Oryza sativa Japonica Group: one gene and its partner. The protein of the gene in region 2 interacts with the protein of the main gene of each other region in a pairwise test. Links are inferred from orthologs where the notes say so. Each region holds a gene or a part of one and is shown on either strand. Other genes may lie near its edges.

Region 1 (4,066 bases), on a different chromosome or scaffold from region 2:
CAAGATAGATTGCAACCAAATTGCATATGAATGATTAAGCACTCGGATTTGGGGTTTCACAAACCGATCTAGCGGCGAAACTGTTCTTGACAGAATAATCTAAGCAAAACCCGACTCTAAACGATGAAGGCTATTGAATAAATATGATTAAGGACGTCCTAGGGTTGCCCTAGGGCGCACACCCCCTTAGGCTAAGCCCACAACACTATTACAAGGCCCAAAACACAAATCAGATTCGGACTGGATGAGATATGTGGCTTGTTTTGCAGTTTCCCAGCAACTTGGTAGGAATTTTGACGTGGGACCAAATCCATCTGAAGTAGACTCCATATGCTTTCCAACAAGTATTCATGGGCCCCAAAATTCCTTCTAGAACAGTGCGGCTAGATCCGTTTGAAGTTGATGCTGTCAGGAGGCCCGAATCCAAATCCAAAACATGTAGAACTTTATCTCTTGTCTTCTGTGGACCAAAAGTGACGTGGTGAGATGAAAGAAGACTTGGAGAAGGTCTTGGTTTGGTCCCCAATCAACTTCTTCAATTATCCATGCATTCCTTACGCTCGGTCTCTTTTCTTTCGCCCAAACAAGTACCTCTGTAAACAAAAACATACGAAACTCATTATGTAGTAATGTTTGTTCAAATATATAACAAGTAAATCTAACGTAGAACATATGCACCTTTGGTTGATTAATACATAAGGTAGTCTTGGTTATATCCGAGCTAGTTGTGTCCTCATCAACATGTGAGTGCACCTGCTCTCGTCAGCAAAAACCGTTTCCCGAACCACGGAAGGAGTCTTTTCGCATCGGTTTTTAAAGATGGATAAGGTGCTATAAGAGCAGGTACAATAGTAGGCTATAAGCCAGCTATAAACATATTTTAAAGAGATAAAGCAAGAGAGAGAAGAGCAGCGGGCTACAGATCTGTAGCCAGCTGCAGCACGGACTCCAAGACGTAATGTATGTATGATAGGTGGGACCAGTTATTAATAGTATAGTAAACAACTATTGTATAAATTGGTTATAGGTGATTCGAAGCTAGTAGTTGGCTATATAGATTTAAAGCTAGTAGTTGGCTATACTATTAAACTTGCTCAAACCGGTTTTACAGTCGAGGGAGGCGATTCAATCAGGAACAAGACACGAGAGAGGCGAAATGGACTTATTCCCTGTACTGACCATCCCGTTCCGCATTCCCACGGCCCAGCCCACACATGGGAGTCGAATAGGAAAAAGAGAAAAAAAACCACAGCCGCTATGGCCCTCTCAAATCTCTCAATCTCCTCTTATCTTGGGCAGTAGTGGCGCTACCTCTTTCTTCTCTCTATCTCTCAACGAGCGCGGCGCGAGCAAGAGGAGCGCGCACCCCGGCGACATCAGAGCTCGTCGACGCCGGGGACTCTGCGCGGCGGCTAGGGAGTTCGCCCGCCGGAGCAAGGGCTGGGCGGGACAAAGAGAAGAAATCTGCAGCGAACCCATGGCGATTCTGCCCCTCTCGATTTCCCACTCTCTTACCTCCGCCTTGTCCGCCACCTCCTCCGGCATCGGCAGGCCAGTTGCCCGCCTCCTCCACCCGCGGGTCCCCTCCCGTCCCACCGTCATCTGCCTCGCCGCGCCGCCCAAGGTACCCGTCCCCATCGCCTCACCGGCTTCACTAGGGGACGACCCTTCCAAATGGGACCCGGCCGAGTGCGACGCCCTTCTCCGCGGCGGCGAGCAGGTCGCCTCCGTGCTCCAGGAGATGCTCAAGCTGGTACGGGTTTTTTTTTCTTTTACTGTTATTTATTTGGTAGATGGTCCTCTACTATTTGAGAGAAATTGGACATTCTGCCGTTGCCAAAACAGGGTTTGGCTCAAATGTCACTCCCTGGATTGGATTAGTTAAAAAGCCACTTCCAACCGGCCGATGTCAAACCGCTGTTTTGCCATATTTGCCATTTCACAGGAATTCCACCATTTTTCGCACTTGGCCTGACCAAAATACCCTTCGGGCTGCGGTTTGATGTCGGTCACACATACATGGACATCGTATGTTGTACTACTTAAAGTCAAACTACTTTAAGTTTAACTAAGTTTATAGATAAATATAGTAATATTTATAATACCAAATTAGTTTTAGTAAATCAATAATTGAATATATTTTCATAATAAATTTGTCTTGGGTTGAAAATGTTATTATTTTTTCAACAAACTTAGTCAAACTTAAAGCAGTTTGACTTTGACCAAAGTCAAAACGTCTTATAACCTGAAACGGAGGGAGTATTATTCATGAACTTTGCAATTCTTTTTTCCACAATGATTCCCTCAAGAAAAGCTAGCAATATGACGGATCAGCAGGACAATCATATGCAGCATATCAAATCAACCAAAGCAAGCAAGAAAAGCATCAACGCATTTGGGCAGCTTTACCTGGTGAAACCCAGATTGATGAGGAACCCGCACCGCGTGACCGACTTCAGCAACAAGTCCTAATAGAATCAGGCCGAGGCAACATCCTCTCCACCCAGAGGTGATCGACGCTAGGAACCACCGCCACGTCTGTGGCCGTAGCCATACCCATATGAGGCCGATGAGGAGGAGGAGGAGGAGGAGGTGGTGGCATGGCTGTAGGAGGAAGAGGAGGACGAGCGAAGGCGGAGGTCATAATCAGCGTGGAGGTGGTCGTCGGAGTGGACCCTGTAGGCCTGTACGCGTCGGAGGCGAGGCGAAAGTGGCGCGCATGGCTGCGTCGGGGGAGTGGGCGTGGCGGTCCGGCTGGTCATGGAGTGCACCGCGGCAGAAGGTGGCCTTCACCTCGGCCGTGGTGGCGTCCCGCCGCAGCCCCAACGTTTGGTAGTGGTCGCTGCCCATTGCTGGCGCCTATCACCGAAGGGGTATTTTGGTCAGACCAATGGCTGAAAATGGTGGAAATCCTATGAAATGGCGAATATGGCAAAGCGGCGGTCATGGTTTTAAAAGCGTCGCTTAAGCGTTGCCTAGGCGTCTGAGCGCCATCAGGGAGCAGAGCGTCCCCACTGCCTACCCTTCTACACGTCTTGGATCCTAATATCTCGTGAAATCAGGTAGACACGGGCAAGGTGGGGGTCAAGGGCGCATGCGCTGTAGGGAATTACACATGCTGGGAAGGAAATCGCGTGAAGATATGATGGAAATCGCGTGTGCAGCAATTTAGGGAGGGAAGAGTGAAAGATGGAAAGAGAATAGAGAATAGGGGTGCGCCAATTTAGGGAGAGGGAAGGGTGAAAGATGGAAAGCGAATAGATAATAGGGTGGGCAGAGATTGGAAAGAGAAGATGGTTGTCTCCCTCTTGCTGCTCCCTTCTTCTCCAATGGATCTGTCTCCCTGCTCTTCCTCGCCCCTTCATGTTCTTCCTCTCTTTTTTGCCTCATATATCTCTAGTATGCCTCTTGTGCTTGTGTTTAAGGCGTCGCCTTACCCTTGCCTTAAACTCTTAAGGCGTTGCCTAGGCAATTGAGTAGGGGTGGGTCGCCTTGCCTCACCTTGTCGCCTTAAGTACACTGGTGGCGGTTTAGCATCGGTTGGAAGTGGCTTTTTAACGAATCCAATCCGTAGAGTGGCATTTGAGTGAAATCCTCTTTTAGCAGTGGCAGAATGTCCAATTTCTCACTATTTGAATTGTGGGTAGTAACTGTCTCGGTTGACAAAATTCTGGGATATTTTAGCTCTGGGTGGTTAATAGATTGGGTGTTTTATTTTCAGTTCTTTGGTGATTAAATACTTTATTGTTTTATTATCCTCTGGTGGGTAGTATATTAGAGCATTTCACGACGAATTGGCCAATAGTTCCCTCGGGAAAAAAAATAATTGGCCATTTGGAAAAAAATAATACATCCTTTGCTGCATCTTTTCACACTTTCTCAAGGTTAGAAGATTATGGATTTTTATTAAATTTTCGAACAACCAGGAATGAAGCAATCTTCAATGATGAATTAGAGAACCTCGGTATGCGATGTGGAATAGCAAGGTTCATGATGCAGCTGAATTATAAGGATTGCTACCTTTGAGGGTCTTAAAGTTGTAAACATTGTATTGTATATTCTTGAT
Region 2 (4,215 bases):
TTGCTTGAATATGTACTATGTATTTTTTTTATTGAATCCATGCATATGATCTAATATATCTAAACGTTAACATCCCTTCATGCAATATTAGAAGAACAAAAAGATACTCTCAATGTATCCATACACCATCCGCCTTTACTTGTAATTGAGTAAAAATAAGTAGAAAATATGGTACTAACAAGCATTGTGCATTTGAACCAACTTTATCCCCAATACGACAATCACATACATCATGTGTGTGCATAGAGGACATGTTTTTTTTTTCATACCATCATGTTTCATCCCCTGTTCCCCACGTGGTATGCTTCTCTAGGACTACTTTTCCTCGACCAAATGGTTCATATATATGTATCTTTGTATTTCTGAACATCTTAGTTTTCATCTTGCCTCTCGACAGTTATCATGCTTTAACCTTCCGTTACCAACCTACCACATTAATGTTATGATCGACCGATATTATCACATGTAGAAACCAGAGTATTGCTCATGTCCGTCATGTGGTAAACACTGAAACCTTAACTAATAGTATTAAGCAATAGATTATTGGCTAACCTCTCTATATTCATGACCAATTCAACTATGGTAAAACAAAATTTAAAATGAAAAAGACCAAGACTACTTCAAAATAACCATATTAACCTTTTCTTAAAAACAAGCTATCTGAGTTAATTAACAAGAGTTGCAACCACATGAACCAACAACTTACTATTGCTTAGTAATATGACCTTGTATGGCACTGATAATCAAAGCTTTACATTGAAAATTGTAATACACTGGATTCACACCGTATAAAAAGAACTTCATATGAAAGACTTATCATGAAGATCAAATAATGCATGTCCTAGGTTCAGGTGCCAGTACTTGCTTATACGCTACTCCCTCCGTCCTATAATATAAGAGATTTTGACTTTTTACTTGCAGTGTTTAACCATTCGTCTTATTCAAAAATTTTTGGAATTTATTTATTTTGTTTATGACTTACTTTATTATCCAAAGTACTTTAAGCACAACTTTTCGTTTTCTATATTTGCACAAATTTTTTGAATAAGACGAGTGGTCAAACAGTACAAGCAAAAAAGTCAAAATCCCTTATATTATGGGACGGAGGGAGTACCTGTTAATTTTAAAAACAATATTTTATCATATATATAACAAAATAAATAATTTGTGACAGTAATCTATATTGAACATTGTCGTTCTCACCATTCTGGGCTGGCTGTTAAAAGGCCGACTGACGGAGGTCCAACCCTATGCCCGCTGGTGTCCACTGTCCACAGAAGCACGGAGTCCGTGCAGCGGGGCGAACAGCCGCCTCCGCCCGAGATAACTCACTCCGCCTCCCCACACGCATATTCTCTCTCCTCTCTGCGCCGTTCGCCTAGCTCTCCTCCCCCCCTTCTCTTCTTTCTCCTCACGGTTCTCACCTCCTCCCCCCTTGACAGTGCACACGCCAAAACCACCGCTAACTCCCACCTCTCGCCCACACCTCCCTGATCCGATCCCTTCCCCCCTACAACCCTAGCCGAATTCCGCCTCCGCCGCGATCCGCTCGTCCCGCGCTCCAATTCCGTCCTTCATCCGCTCTTTGTTTTTTTTGCGATTGTTTTTTTGGGTGCGATTGGTTTGGTGATCCGCGTGTTAGGGTTCGGGAGTCGCCGGGGCGGGGGTTTGGGTGGTGGATTGGACCGGTAGGTGGCCGGGAGGGTTGGCCCTTGTGGTTTCGGGGTTTGGTTTCACCCGCCGCATGTGGAGAATCGGAGGACCTGGGAGAGGTTAGGGTTAGGGTTATGGGGAGCACGGGGGAGCCCGACCGGAAGCGGCGGCTCAGTAGCTCCGTCGCGCCCGGCGGCGGGGCCCCTGTTTCTCCTGCCAAGCGGCTGGCGGTTGCACCCACCTCCGAAGATAAGAAGGTATTTGCGCATCTCGAGCCAGCTCTGTATCGTTTTGAGTTAATGTTTATGGTGGTACCGTGTTAGTACTGTTTGTTTGAGTTCATGTTTATGGTGGTAGTACTGTTTGATATGTTGTTGTATGATAGCTAGATGGTGGCATGGTGACTGATTTTTAGCTGTTTTGTTATGTCATGGAATCCATACATCCGCTAAAAGATCTATTGTGGACTGTTTGAGTATAGATCGATGAGTTTATTCTTGACAAGTGTTTGATGCTTTTGTACTTATGCTGAGCTCTATGCAATTGCAAGTCTTGCTGTGTTGTGGTCGTTAGTGGAAGAAGCCCTATGTATATTGCCTCCTGTCAGAGTGAAAACAAAAATACTAGTAGGAATGAGCTATGCATTATCCGTTTCGGATTCTGCAACTATTGCACGATTGTTTATGGTTCTTTAGAGCAATTGATGTATTCTATAATTATTACTCGGTGATAGATGGGAGGCTGACTTGTGAAATTGTTACTTGACTTACATTGCATTCTTGTTTTCCCGTGTTCATGATAGCAGAAAGTGGCAATTCCTTGGTAAACCTTCGTATTTTGAGTTTTTTAAATGATCTTAGTTTTTTGTGGCTACATTTATGGATATTGAAATGGTTAACTTTGGACTAGTAGCGGATCTAGAAGTTCTCTTGAGCTTGGGCAAACCTAAACGAATGGGCTAGATTATAGGATTAATAAGTATTATTTTTTTGTCAAAAGTAGATAATGGCTGTTGGAGAACTGTGTAGCTTTGGCCTTAGGCTGATGGCAGCAAACATTGGTGTGAGGCTGTGTCTTGACTCCTTTGTTGCTTGCATAGCTGATTTAGCCTCTATTAAAAGAAGCAGATTAAGCAGGGGCATTAAGTGGTAATCCACTGGCTAATACGGTGGAGCCCGGGCACCTGCCCGTGGTGGCCGGGCCCTAGCTCCGCTGCTGCTTTGGACAAATTTAATTTTCTTGCTGGCAATGATACCATAATGTGCCAATGCTTATTTACAATCATAGCGCCTTTTATTTTTCCATAGCATATGCTATTGTTTTTTGATATAGATAAAGGTCTAAATTGGGTCGTTAAATTAATATTAATGAAATTTGTCACCAAGTTACTACTGGTGACAACTGACAATTAATCGCTGTTACTACCGGTGACAACTGGCAATTATTCGCCTACTTTGTTATTTAATTTTACAAGAGGGAAATATGGGAAAAGATTGGTTAAATTTTGGGAGGGATAGGTCAAGGGTATAATGGCATGTTGGATGATACCTTTTATGCGTTTACTCATGTGTTACCGTATTTGGTCCAATATGGAATATCCATGCACAAAACCTTTTTTTTCTTTTGTCCTGTAGCATGAAATGAACCTATTTATCATGTTGGTGATATCATCAGTACGGCTCCTTTTGTGTTTATGTTCTGTTTTGGCTCTGCTCTTCTTCAAGTTGTAAATAAAAGATACTTGAATGTTGGTTCAGCTTTTCTTTTTATGCTTGAATTAGTGATTTCTCTTTGTTGCCAAACACATATCTTTAGTTTTGATTTCGCACACTGCCTACTTATATTGTCTTGTTTGGCAGCTCGATTTTACTGTACTCAAATACAAAAACCAAAAGCTCTCAGAGCAACTAGAAGCCCACAAGTTTGAGTATCGTGCTCTTGAAAATAAATTCGCTGGGCTAAAAGAGAAGCAGAGGACTCATAATGAGACACTTTCCTTGGTCAACAGTTCTTGGGAACAAGTAAGCTATTATTTTGTGCATGTTTTACCAAAAAAGACAGACTTTATAATGTTTCTTCCTGAATCCCTTTATTTGATCAGCTTGTGGCAGACCTGAAGTCAAGATCTTTTTGCAAAAGTGGATCTCCTAATTCCAGCCCTGGTTCAGGGCACAACAATGTACAAAAGGGTATGACTTCCTTTATTTTCTAAAAACATCCCAACTACATTTTCCTAGACAGGTTTTGAAATATGGGAGTGCCATCTACTCCCTCTGTCTCCTCATATAAGGGATTTTGACATTTTGCTTGCACTGTTTGACCATTCGTCTTATTCAAACATTTTTGGAATTAGTTTTTTTGTGACTTATTATCCAAAGTACTTTAAGCACAACTTTTCGTTTTTTATATTTGCACAAATTTTTTTGAATAAGATGAGTGGTCAAACAGTGCAAGCAAAATGTCAAAATCCCTTATATTATGGGACGGAGGGAGTATTTAAGTAGCAAATGATTATCACTATGGAAAAACCTTTTGATCTGGTCATCTTTGTGGTCCATTGCT

Evidence for each region.
Region 1: the proteins of E3 ubiquitin-protein ligase BRE1-like 1 (region 2) and protein PEP-RELATED DEVELOPMENT ARRESTED 1 homolog, chloroplastic interact in binary tests that used the Arabidopsis thaliana proteins (3 or more experiments, as listed by UniProt). The link is inferred for Oryza sativa Japonica Group from reciprocal best matches to the Arabidopsis thaliana genes HUB1 and AT5G48470.

What each region holds. Positions count from the first base shown.
Region 1 is NC_089045.1:15,317,709-15,321,774, reverse strand, and holds the start of protein PEP-RELATED DEVELOPMENT ARRESTED 1 homolog, chloroplastic, read left to right. Parts: upstream 1-1,266; 5' UTR 1,267-1,477; coding exon 1,478-1,753; intron 1,754-4,066. UniProt on the Arabidopsis thaliana protein: Plays an essential role in early steps of chloroplast development. May be involved in the redox control of plastid gene expression by maintening the redox state around chloroplast nucleoids.
Region 2 is NC_089038.1:28,062,285-28,066,499, reverse strand, and holds the start of E3 ubiquitin-protein ligase BRE1-like 1, read left to right. Parts: upstream 1-1,415; 5' UTR 1,416-1,787; coding exon 1,788-1,910; intron 1,911-3,512; coding exon 3,513-3,674; intron 3,675-3,754; coding exon 3,755-3,842; intron 3,843-4,215. UniProt on the Arabidopsis thaliana protein: E3 ubiquitin-protein ligase that monoubiquitinates H2B to form H2BK143ub1. H2BK143ub1 gives a specific tag for epigenetic transcriptional activation and is also prerequisite for H3K4me and maybe H3K79me.